Linked DNA regions of Rattus norvegicus. The protein of the gene in region 2 interacts with the protein of the main gene of each other region in a pairwise test. Links are inferred from orthologs where the notes say so. Each region holds a gene or a part of one and is shown on either strand. Other genes may lie near its edges. The genes, in order: Gtpbp10, Mtus2 and Taf13.

Region 1 (3,748 bases), on a different chromosome or scaffold from region 2:
GGCATTGTAAAATACTGTGCTCTGTTATCTTATTTCTTTATGCTGGACTTTATACACAAACACATGATTACATTTGTAAAACCACAGAAATGTATTAGAAAAGTCAAGTCCAACTGGCTAGTGGTTATATCTGGGTGGAAGAACTATAAATGAAAGCCTCTCCACGGTAGGGAGCCGCTGGGGCACTACTGAAATTTTGCCCAAGGTAAGTTTGGAACAAAGTACGGATTCAGATAACATCTATTCCCAGGAGGAAATAGAAAAGGGACACTGGGAGAGTAAATGGACAAAGGTCAAACCCACCAAAATAGTCATGTTAGACTTATGCTTGATGAGAATACAGAAGGTAATTTGAGTTATTAGTAAAGCTCTATATTCTGGTTTCCCCAGAAGAGTTTGACTTTCATGAAGCTGAGAACCACCCCATAAGCACTTACCGACTGTTTGCTCCTCCTCCGGCCACAAACCGTTTCTGAGGGTATTTGTTTTTAAGTTGTTTTAAGGTCATATTTTTATGGGCCACAACCCAGACGTCACCACCTCTTCCACCTTCTCCACCTAAACGAGGGTAGCCCATTCCACCACTTCCTCCCTTGGTGAAGATTCTTAGATTATCAATGAAATTTCCATACTTAAGAAAATGAGAGAGAAAGAGAGGATATTTATATATCAAATATTCTATTAACTTAAAAGGTTCTGGTTTCATTCTACTGAGGCTTCTTTGAGGAAAGAATCAAAGCTGTCTGTATAGCACCTGTATGTATAGCCCTTTCTTGCACTACCTCCTTTCCCACTCTCTCTCCCTTAATGATCAAATGCTTCACCTAGCCTCAAGGAGTCTGCCCTTTCCCGTTTTCATTCTAAACCTTCTCTTCAGGGTGACCTCAGTAGGTACTAGTAATGCTCCCCTGTGAAAAGGTTAAGCTTTTAAGTGTTTAAAACAACTGAAAGCAGAACTGCCTTCTGTTTACATGAAAAACCCTTTAAATGAGTAACCTGTTGGTGGGTAGCCACTGGATGGATCCCTCCAAACAAAATGTTCTAAAAGCAGCAGCAACAGCAACAAAAAGCTGTTCCCTCAGTTAATTATCTGCTCATCTAGATTGAACAAACGGATATCTTTTTACTGTAATTTTTGCTTTCCAAGAAGCCTAACTCCTTTCCAGAATCACTGTTCCCTTAGAACCTTGACTGTTAACTCCAAATGGTCTCTCAGGGTCTCGTCATTCCTTCTTAATGCACACACCACCAGGAGCCAAGAGCATCTTTATTTCCCCTTAAGTGAACCTGACGTCTATGTTTCTCTTTACTCAGAAACAATCGTGACTTTGGGGTTTTACTGCTTATGAAATAATAAAGTTCACAGTGCTGTATTCAAAACCCTCAGCAGATCTCACCAGGGTGACCATCACTTGTTGGAGCTTTACTGTTCTTTTCTGAGCTGCCCACTCTCTCTGCCACTCTAGTCATGGTTTCTCCTCTACACAGATTATCATTTGTTCTATCATAAACCCATTTTCTGGTGTCAGAGTTTCAATGTATCCTCAAATACAACTAAACTGTGGTTTATGGTTTTGTGGTCTGAGCCATCCTTGAAATATCGCTCTCATTGACTCTCTGGCTTTGCAGGCTTTCACAGACATTGTATTATACCTTCTGGTTCTTAATCAACATTTAGTTAGCCTCACTACATAAGTAACTTCTTATAAAGCTCTTGTGTCTTAATCCCAGGCTTTCAAATTACAGAGTAAATTAATATTCACATTTTTGTCAACTTGCAATATTTTTGGGTATCAAAAATATCTGTGGGTTTAAAAAAACTGAAGATTGACCACCCTGAGATATTCTTGGTAAGGGCTTTTAAAGCTGTACTCAATGTGTGACTTTTCCTTTATTCTTTAGATTTGTCATATTTCTTGGGGAAGCTCATTTATAAGAGCTGCAATCTTAAATGGCTGTTAATAACAACAGTTTATGTAATAAGGTGACTTCTAACTTTCACAAACTGTTGCTAGTTAGCTCACTGTGATTTTTTTTTAATCGAAGCAGTTGGTTGCAGATTGTTATAAAAATGGATTCTAAATCAGGCATTACATAAAAACTGACGTAAAATTTCTGTACGCAGTACAGCAATTACACACTTTGGCTTCCAGAAAAAGTCTTCAGAAAAATATTAAAAGCAGTGCCAAGGAGGGGAAACGTATAAAAGAAGGTTATGGACAGTCTTTTAAACAACGAGAACCAAAACTAACACAGAAAAAAGCCTCTGCACGGCTCGTACACCGTAATGCCGAGTCTAAACCGCAGTCAGGTAGCCCAACTATCCTCCCACGTGCTTTGGGGAACATTATAGGAATTCCCTATAGCTGGACCCCAAACAGGGGTAAGCATGTTACAGAGACAGTCTTCTCCCAGGACAGCGGGAATTAAGGAACCCAGGAGAAGAGCGGCGAGAGACAGCAAAGCTGGGGGATGAGCCCCTGACACGGACCTTTCTCAACAACGCGCAACCACAGCGCACCATGAGCTCCAAGGGGCAGGACTCCCGCCCGCAGAATCCGGACAGGTTTCGGCCAGGCGCGCCTTCTGACGTCACTACTAGTCGCCGAGGTGACGTCTCAGCGGATCCGCGCGTGCGTAGTCCAGTGCCCTCGCGGAAGGTGGGCGTGTGCTTTGGAAGTTCTCGGAGTCTCCCAGTGTAGAAAGGGGAGTGCAAAGGGAAGTGAGATTCTTCTAAGTTGTGTGCAAAGAACAGCAGAGCTCAGGGTAGGAGTCTCTTTAGTTAAACGCTGTGCGTAGGAGACTGGCCTGCTTCACAAACATTTTTATGGTAGCTGAAGAACCTGAGGTGCCAGGATTTTCTCGAGGTGAAGAACCCTCCAACAGGAGTAAACAAAAACGTGTGTAAGACACGGAGAGCCTTAAAAGACTGCTGGATGACGACCTGAGTAATTTTTCTAGCTAAGGTTTTAACTTCAAGGAACCAATCACTTAAAACTTGTAGCACAGGCGTATTAAAAGAAACGCAACGATCTAGATCTGCACAAAGAATCATGTTTGCAGTGGAAATAAACAAAAACCCCAATCTGGACTCAGCCAAGAGTTTTCACCTATCATTTGAAGGCTGCCCTTGTGAGAACACGAGAGATTACATTGCAGCTTGGGGAGGAAGCATCAGAAAAAGACCCTCGAATAGTAAAGGAATCTAGACAGAGCAGTAGTTTCCACCCAGTGTACTTCCAAATGGTGTTTTAATAAGAGGCGAAGAAGCTGTCCTGTTAAGGTGTGAAAATGTGGGAACAAGATAACAGTTAGGAAACTAATAAAAAGTGAAATTGTTTTAATATACCATTCAGAAGAAAGGGACACCTGCATAGAAAAGGAGCAAAATTGGCTGACTTGGTGATTTGGCACAAGAAGATCGTTTTGTAAAATCCCCTGGTCTGGTGAAATTACTTTCCTTTCTTCCCATATGCGAGGACTCGCCCCTTTCACAAATTCCTCATCTTATTGTATAGGATGCAGAACCTTATCTACACGAATAAACCAGAGCCCTGTTTTCTAGTCTAGCACGCAGGCATGTAGCAGACTGCCCGTAACTTTGCAATTTTCAGAGTTCCAAGACTAGCCTTTGCCAGGTTCCAGCTAGGGAAAAGTCCTCGATCAACATACTTAACCTTTTGAAGAACCAGAATATCAAGTTGCTGTCATCATACTTTTCCTGTTAAATCTAGAAAAGTGCTGCCAT
Region 2 (3,748 bases):
ACTTGGACTTATAAAATTGGGGGCTGAGAGAGTAGCAATGGAATCCTCCCTATTTAAAAAAGAACCCAAAACTACAAAACCACATAAATACATGGCCAGTGTCCCCCACCCCGGGGCCTCCCAAAGTAAGTCCAGGTGAGGGACCAGAAGCCCAAGATTCCCAGCCTCTGGGTCTCAGTCCGCATGTAAAGGGCTGCAGAAGTTTCCAGCCAGCACTGAGATCTCTAGAAAATTGCTAAACATAGCAGTTATCTACTCCAGCCATCCTCCCCAGTTCTTATCTCCCATTCACAAACGACCGTCCCTGCTGCTCCCTCTAATTGGGCAGCAACAATTCATTAGAAAGCCTCGGGCGTGTGTGTGTGTGTGTGTGTGTGTGTGTGTGTGTGTGTGTGTGTGTGTGTGTTGTGCATCCACATGAGCCTAGGTCTTTATACATCCTCCCCCACGGTTTCAGCTCTGACAGCCTAGTTCCGTGTCAATTATGTAATAGCCAGAGCAGAGAGTTTAACGGAGTACCAGAAGCACCACCGTCGTGGCTCTTACATAATCTCCCATAAAGCCTCGGTAAGCCCGCCCCCAAGGTATGGAAATGTACACTTATAAAAGATGCCAGTTTTCCCTCTGTCCTTAAAAATACCGAAAAGGCTTGCACCTGATTGACTAGTTTGCATTCCCATATAGTATATGAAATCGTCCATTCAGTGAGAAAAATAATCCTTGGTGAAACTTGATTTTTTTTATTATGCAAACAAAAGAAGACGCTCCCTCTCCCCAAGACTACTGAACTTTCAGGGTTTCCTCTGCGTAATGTACTGTACCCCACACTAAGACTCCCATGGGTACCCTTTGTGGAACTAAGGGTCCCTGGTACACACAGCTTTTCTTTGCAAGAAAAACAAGCAGGAAAATCACTTAAATGAAAAGAGACATGGGCTAAAATCTATTAGCTTCTCTCCAGTCCAACACAAGTTTCTCTCCCTATACACCACACGCATGGCTGTGGTACCTCGAACCCACAGAACCACACCTTACGCTGCACTGAGACTAAACGAAACCCGAAGCAATACCCACCAAACAGTCTTAGCCCTGACTACACATGTCAAGCACCAGAAAGCCAGACACATAACAAACGCCATCACCAGAAGCCAGTAGGGACAGAATGTGCATCTGATGCCTTCCACTTTCGTCTTTATACCTGAAAAATTACTGTACGTGTGAGCAGAGATCTTTATTAGCGATCAACTCACAATTAGCCGTGCCCACGTGACAGCAAAATAAACCTAACAGTTTAAAAGCCAAAAAGGCTATGTGACGGGGGACCTATTTCTTTAAATCACTTCCCACCTATTTCTTGTCAGAGACGTCCCACTGGTTTTCATAACAGACTTCATAAAAACCTGTTTTGTGTCTTAACGCTTGAGATTTTACCGTATGATTTTTTTTTTTTTTTTTTTTTTGGAAAGGACCTCGCGTCGCCTTTAAATGATATCGAAGCCATCGTATGCTTATCCTGAAGGAAAGTTTTGATCTAGGACAGAAATTATGGCTCTGACTTCCTGCGCTCTTACGTTCTCTGGTAACCGCTCCTAACTTTACCAGATACCAAATATTCCTGTGAAGCACTTACATAACAAAGAGTGCAGGCGCCTCTGGCACGCCGCCAAGCGTACTTCTCTGGGTGTTTGTATCTAAAATAGAACGGTAGTAACATCACTTGCAAGCCTGTAGTTCCTTTCCCTGCACAGACTCGGAATGAAGGGGGTTGAAAAAAAAATGGATGGAGCAAGCCTTACCATTCTAGAGCTCCAAGGAAATAACACATCGGTGCTAAATTAAGACGAAGGCACGGACCGAATTATCCCGAGCTGGGGGTGGAGAGGGGTGGGAGCTCGTTTAGGCTAACCCGCTGTCGCCTCTGAAACACCGTGCTCAACCTGGCATCCCCGGAAGGTGCGAGTGGGCTGCAGCCTCTCTCCGGCGGAGCAGAAGATGTGGGCAGCGGGGAGCGGGCGCTCTGATGCCAGAGAAGCCAGGGAAAGGCACCGCCTCCGCCCCGCTCTGCACCTGTCTCCAGCCAGATCGGGACGCGCGGACGACAGTCGCTCACCTGAGTCTGGAGGAGCCAAGAAGGATGTGCAGAGAGACCAGGGCAGCCTCCGGGAGCATCCCCGGCCGGGCTACCTCCGCTCGCAGCTCCTTCGCAGCTGGAGTTTGCAACGCGCCCACGCGTCCAGACTCCTGACCCACCCGGGTCTTCTGCAACTTGACAGAGCGCGGGCAGAGGTGGCGCAGGTGGCGAGCTTGGGGCACCAGGGTACCTGGGGCCGTGGCCGCAGCCAGCCCTCCGCCCGCGCACTTCACCGCTGGGCACCGCCCAGGCCACCCGGCTCCGATTACAGGGATGGCCCGGGCTGAGGACGCCTCGCCGGACAAAGACGCCGCTCCCGCCCACCCTCCAGTGAGGTGCCGTCCGCGGTGACAGAAGCCGGGTTGCAGCGGCCCAAGGCGCGCACCCCCTCCCGGCCGCCCGGAGATGCTCACGAGCCCCGGCGCCTCCTCTCGGCCGGAGCCCCGTGGGGGAACCGAGCGCCCTCTGCCGGCTGGACACGACCCTGCACTCACGGGACCACAGTGGCCCTGAGCATTCAGCCTCAGACCCCAGGGAAAGGGGAAACAGCCTGAGGTCGCCGACCTAGAGCCCGGACTCCCACGAGTGGGATGTGCTGTGGTCCAATCGGAAGAGAGAGCCTCTTTTAATTACGTGCGGCAAGAAGAGCTGGGGTCCGGCGGGAGAACTTGGAAGGGAGGTAGGGGGGCTGATGGACAAGAGACTAAAGTGGCTGTGAAAGGGTTTTGTGTGAGAGGCTGTGTGCGGGTTTGGCGGGGCTGCGGGGTGAGGTGGGGTGTCTTTTTGTTTGAGGCAGGATCTCACTTGGGACTCACAGATATCCTCCTGCTTCTGCCTCCAATTCTGGGGGCAATGCGTAGCCGGCTACCCACTTGAAAGACTCTTGGCTCAACGCGAGCTTGTCTGCTTCGAAATGCACACCATTCCTCGGAAGTAAACATGAACGCGGGACTTCTCAGTGGCTCTTCCAGGTCGCCTGAAAGCAGCGCACCTGGGAAGCCTGAAGACAGCTTGAGGGCTTCAGCAGCCTCTGGTTCCCAAGGCTTGGGACAGACTGGCAGAGAAATGACTACGAGGTGCTAGCAGAATGGGCTTGCTGATTCGCTTGCTCGCTTTCTCTTGGGGGTCGAGAGTGTGGGAAACTGCGCTCCCTCCCCCACCCCAGCACTGCTGTGCCGAGCAACATTTTATACCAACTGATTTTTATTTTAGTTATTTACTAACTGGTCTATATACTGAAGAGAGATCATGAAAGAGCGCTTTTCACACGGCTGTCTTTTTACATTATTCTATGTGGCTTCCCATTTCTTCTGGAAGAATCTAGGGCACATTTTATGGCTTTTCCTGTCACCTTCGGGTGTTAACAAGCGGTCTGACTGGCTGTTATTACAAAGTCCAGTCTAATCTAAATCAACCTTTAAGCGCATTTCATTTAAGCCTTCGTCCTTCCCTTCCCCTAACTCACAAACCCCCAGCCTGACTTAAACCTAGAAAGATAGAAAAGCCTCCTGCAAGCCCTTCACTTTCCTATTTGGGTGTTCTGTAAAGCTTGGTGTCTCCTAGGTGAAAGGAATGAGGTCTGGACGCTACAGCTCCTTCCTCGGGCCACTCTCACTC
Region 3 (3,742 bases), on a different chromosome or scaffold from region 2:
ACTTAGCTCTTTGATAATTTTAAAATGTTTTACTTATTACTGTGTATGGAAGCCAGAGGACAGCCTTGTGGAATCTGTCTTCTTACCTTTCACTTTTTATATAGGCCCAGGGATTAAACCTGAATATTAGTCTTATTCCGTGAGAGCTTTCACTGACTGTACCATCTCTCCCGCACATCTTTTGTAATTAAAAAACCAAACCCAAACCCACCCCCCTCATAAAACCCAATGTACACACACACACACACACACACACACACACACACACACACACACACACACAAAATTACGGAGGCAGGAAAGATTGCTCTGCAGCTAAGAGCATTGGCTGCTTTTCCAAAGACTTGAGTTTGATTCCCAGCCCCTACATAGCGGTTCACAATCATCTAACTCTAGTTTCAGGGAATTAGTTGCTCTCTTCTGGCCTCTTTGGCGCTGCGAACACATGGTACACATGCGTGTCTGCAAAACACTCATATACATAAAGATTATATATATATTTTTAAAAAGTATATCTATGTGGGCTTGTGTACTTGAATGCATCAGCCCCAGAGGCAAAAATTCATCATATTCCCCTGGAGCTGGAATTACAGGCATTTGGGAGTCTCCATTAGTATGCACAAATTTATCATTTATGATTTCTGAGATATGGGCTCATGAAGCTTGAGTGGTCTCGAACTCTAAGCTCTCTTGCCTCGGCCAAGTGCACGGAATTTTTTCGGTATAGTACACCACGCCTGGCATCTTTGTAATTTTTAATCCCTTCTTCAGGATTCCACGCCTAAGTACGCGTCACTGATTTTCAGCCAATCTCAAGGCCGGGGTTAGGAGAATGAGAGTGCACACCCATCTGCGCAACTCCGGCCAGGCCGGAAGTGACGCACATATCTTATAAATCTTGCGAGCCGCCCTTGGGCGGGCTCAGAAGGCTGGCGGGCTGCTAGCATGGCAGATGAGGAGGAAGATCCCACCGTGAGTGAGCGCCCGTCACAGCCTGTTTCCTCACTCCCTCTGGCTCACTAGCGGAGGCAGAGTCTGACCCTCCTGAGCCTTAGGGAATCCCGCCGAGAGTTCGGGGTCTCCGCGGTGTTTTCCTCTTCCTTCGGTTTACCTTAGTCAGTGCGTGGGGCAGGAAGGGAAGGAAAAGTAGACAGGATCTCCTTTTGATCTGGATCTTCCTGACACTGAGAGTCTAGAGAGTCATAGGAGATCAAAGCAAATACTGCGGAACCAGCAGCCCATCTGCTAACAAAACTAGTGAAAATAGTGGAGAAAAGATGAACTAAAGTCAGGAAGTTTGAGATCCAGATTCTCCTTTGGAGTTATTTAACTTAAGGCATCGGTTTTCTTGTCGTGAGATAGGGTCAAGCCCAGTTAAGGAAAGTTTTTAGCCCTGTATTGACAGGTGCTTAGTAAATGTTGCTTCTGATGGCAGCAGAGAGTAGATTTTAAACTATCAGGTCTTTTACAGTAGTAGCATTGCTTAGCAGTATGACAACTAAATGGGCTAAAACCAAACCCAGAACCTGACGTCCATTTGAACTTCACACACACACACACCCCGGGTAGGGTTGTTAGTTAGGAGCCGTAATAAAAGACTTCTTGCACGACTTGAGAAGTGGAATAGGACATAAGAGCCCTCTGATGCTAAGTTTCTATGACTTTGTGCTGTTTGCCTTAGCTTACCACTTTTGAAAATGCAAAAGGGTCACTGGGCATGGTGGTGCACACTTTGAATCCCAGCACTCAGAAAAGGATCTCTGAGTTCCAGGCAGACGGGCACATACCTTGTCTCAAAAAAAAAAAAAAAAAAAAAGTCTAGAGATTTTGCTTTAGTGCATCTGGCTACCTACAGCAGTTAGACCCCTTTTTTGGCCTCTACGGGCATTTGCAGGCATAGTCAATGTAGGCACACACAATACATATAAATAATAAATGTCTTTCAAAAAAAGATGAAAAGGGCACTGGAGTGTAGCTCAGTGGTCAATTAACTGTTTAGAATCGTGAGCTCCTAGGTTCAATTCATAGCACTCAAAAGAGAGAGCAGGAGGAGACTCTGGAGAATATCACGTGCACTGCCATCATTTGACATTTCTGTATTTTTAAATTTCTAGTTTGAGGAGGAAAATGAAGAAATTGGAGGAGGAGCAGAAGGTGGCCAGGGGAAGAGAAAGAGACTTTTCTCTAAAGAACGTAAGTTGTACTTTCCAATGCTTTTATTACAGGTGGTGAGAGCTTTTAAACATGTCCTTGGAGAGTAGGTACATTGCTCTGCATATGTTTGCTTAGAGGGACAGTGTTCTCAGACTTGCCTGTAAGGTTGTTTTTATTCCTGTTTGTTTTTGCTTTTTTTTTAAAAAAAAATTATTTTATGTATATGAGTACCAGAAGAGGGCATCAATTCCATTACAGATGGCTGTGAGCCACCATGTGGTTGCTGGGAATTGAACTCAGGACCTCTGGAAGAGCAGTTAGTGCTCTTAACTGCTGAGCCATCTTTCTAGCTCCCCTTGTTTTTGCTTTCTTTTTTTTTAAAGATAGGCTCTGCATAGGCTTGGCTATATTGGTGCTCACTGTTTAGCCCAAGCTAGCTTTGGGTGGCGGTAGTCCTCCTGCCTTAGCCTCTCAAGTATTGGGATTGCCGGTGTGCCTCCTGTGGTTGGTATAAGTCTCTTTATCATGTATACTAATTCTCTCTTTGTGACGTAAAATAATGAATGTGATTCCCCCCCACCCACACATACACTTTGAGGTGGGTTTTTTTTATTTTATTTCTTTTAGTTTTTTTTTTTTCCTTTTCTTTTTTTTTTTTTCGGAGCTGGGGACCGAACCCAGGGCCTTGCGCTTGGTAGGCAAGCGCTCTACCACTGAGCTAAATCCCCAACCCCTCTTTTAGTTTTTTTTTAAGATTGATTGATTGATTATAATTACACTGTAACTGTCTTCAGACACACCAGAAGAGGGCACCAGATCTCATTACAGATGGTTGTGAGCTGCCATGTGGTTGCTGGAAATTGAACTCAGGATTCCTGGAAGAGCAGTCAGTGCTCTTAACCACTCAGCCATCTCTCCAGCCCTCTTTGAGGTTTTTGAGACAGGGTTTTTCTGTGTAGCTCTGGCTGTCTTAGAGCTCATTCTGCAGATCAGGCTAGTTTTGAACTCACAGAGAGATACATATGCCTCCACCTCTGCCTCTGCCTCCTAAGTGCTGGGATTGACACTGTGAACCACAGCCACCCAGCTGAGGCAGGGTTTTTATATCCCAGTATGGTTTCAACCTTGGTATGTAGATGAGTATGACCTTGAACTTCTCCTGTCTGTATCCCTCGTGCTACACATAGGCCCATATGTCATGATTCCCAGTTTGTTTAGCTAAGGATTGACCCTAGTTGTGTGTGTTAGGCTAGCACTCAGCTACTAACTGAGCTACATTCATTGCACCGCTGCCCCTCCCCCTTTCTGTTTTTTTGTTTGCTTTGTTTTTGTTGTTGTTTTTCCCTTTCTGTGTTTAGCAGGGTCTCATGTACCCTAGATTGGTCTTGTATTTATTACGTAGCTGGGGATGACTATGATGTTATATTCCTCTTGTGTCCACCTTTCAAACGATGTAAGTTGAGGCTTTGGACTAAGGCACTGATCAGGGCAAGAAAGTGAAGTCTGGGGTACTAACAGTGTCGTTAACCTTCCATCATACTCCTTAGGCAGACAAGTTAAATCCTTAGAGCAGCAGGGTGAGCTGTTT

Evidence for each region.
Region 1: the proteins of Mtus2 (region 2) and Gtpbp10 interact in binary tests that used the Homo sapiens proteins (3 or more experiments, as listed by UniProt). The two-hybrid records come from large-scale screens. The link is inferred for Rattus norvegicus from reciprocal best matches to the Homo sapiens genes MTUS2 and GTPBP10.
Region 3: the proteins of Mtus2 (region 2) and Taf13 interact in binary tests that used the Homo sapiens proteins (3 or more experiments, as listed by UniProt). The two-hybrid records come from large-scale screens. The link is inferred for Rattus norvegicus from reciprocal best matches to the Homo sapiens genes MTUS2 and TAF13.

Annotation. Positions count from the first base shown.
Region 1 is NC_086022.1:29,430,535-29,434,282, reverse strand, and holds the start of Gtpbp10 (GTP-binding protein 10), read right to left. Parts: upstream 2,601-3,748; 5' UTR 2,525-2,600; coding exon 2,492-2,524; intron 632-2,491; coding exon 438-631; intron 1-437. UniProt on the Homo sapiens protein: May be involved in the ribosome maturation process. Complements an ObgE(CgtA) function in E.coli ribosome maturation. Plays a role of GTPase in vitro. When missing, disorganization of the nucleolar architecture is observed.
Region 2 is NC_086030.1:12,112,034-12,115,781, forward strand, and holds the start of Mtus2 (microtubule-associated tumor suppressor candidate 2), read right to left. Parts: upstream 2,471-3,748; 5' UTR 1,797-2,470; intron 1-1,796. UniProt on the Homo sapiens protein: Binds microtubules. Together with MAPRE1 may target the microtubule depolymerase KIF2C to the plus-end of microtubules. May regulate the dynamics of microtubules at their growing distal tip.
Region 3 is NC_086020.1:198,892,430-198,896,171, forward strand, and holds the start of Taf13 (transcription initiation factor TFIID subunit 13), read left to right. Parts: upstream 1-902; 5' UTR 903-945; coding exon 946-972; intron 973-2,114; coding exon 2,115-2,193; intron 2,194-3,742. UniProt on the Homo sapiens protein: The TFIID basal transcription factor complex plays a major role in the initiation of RNA polymerase II (Pol II)-dependent transcription.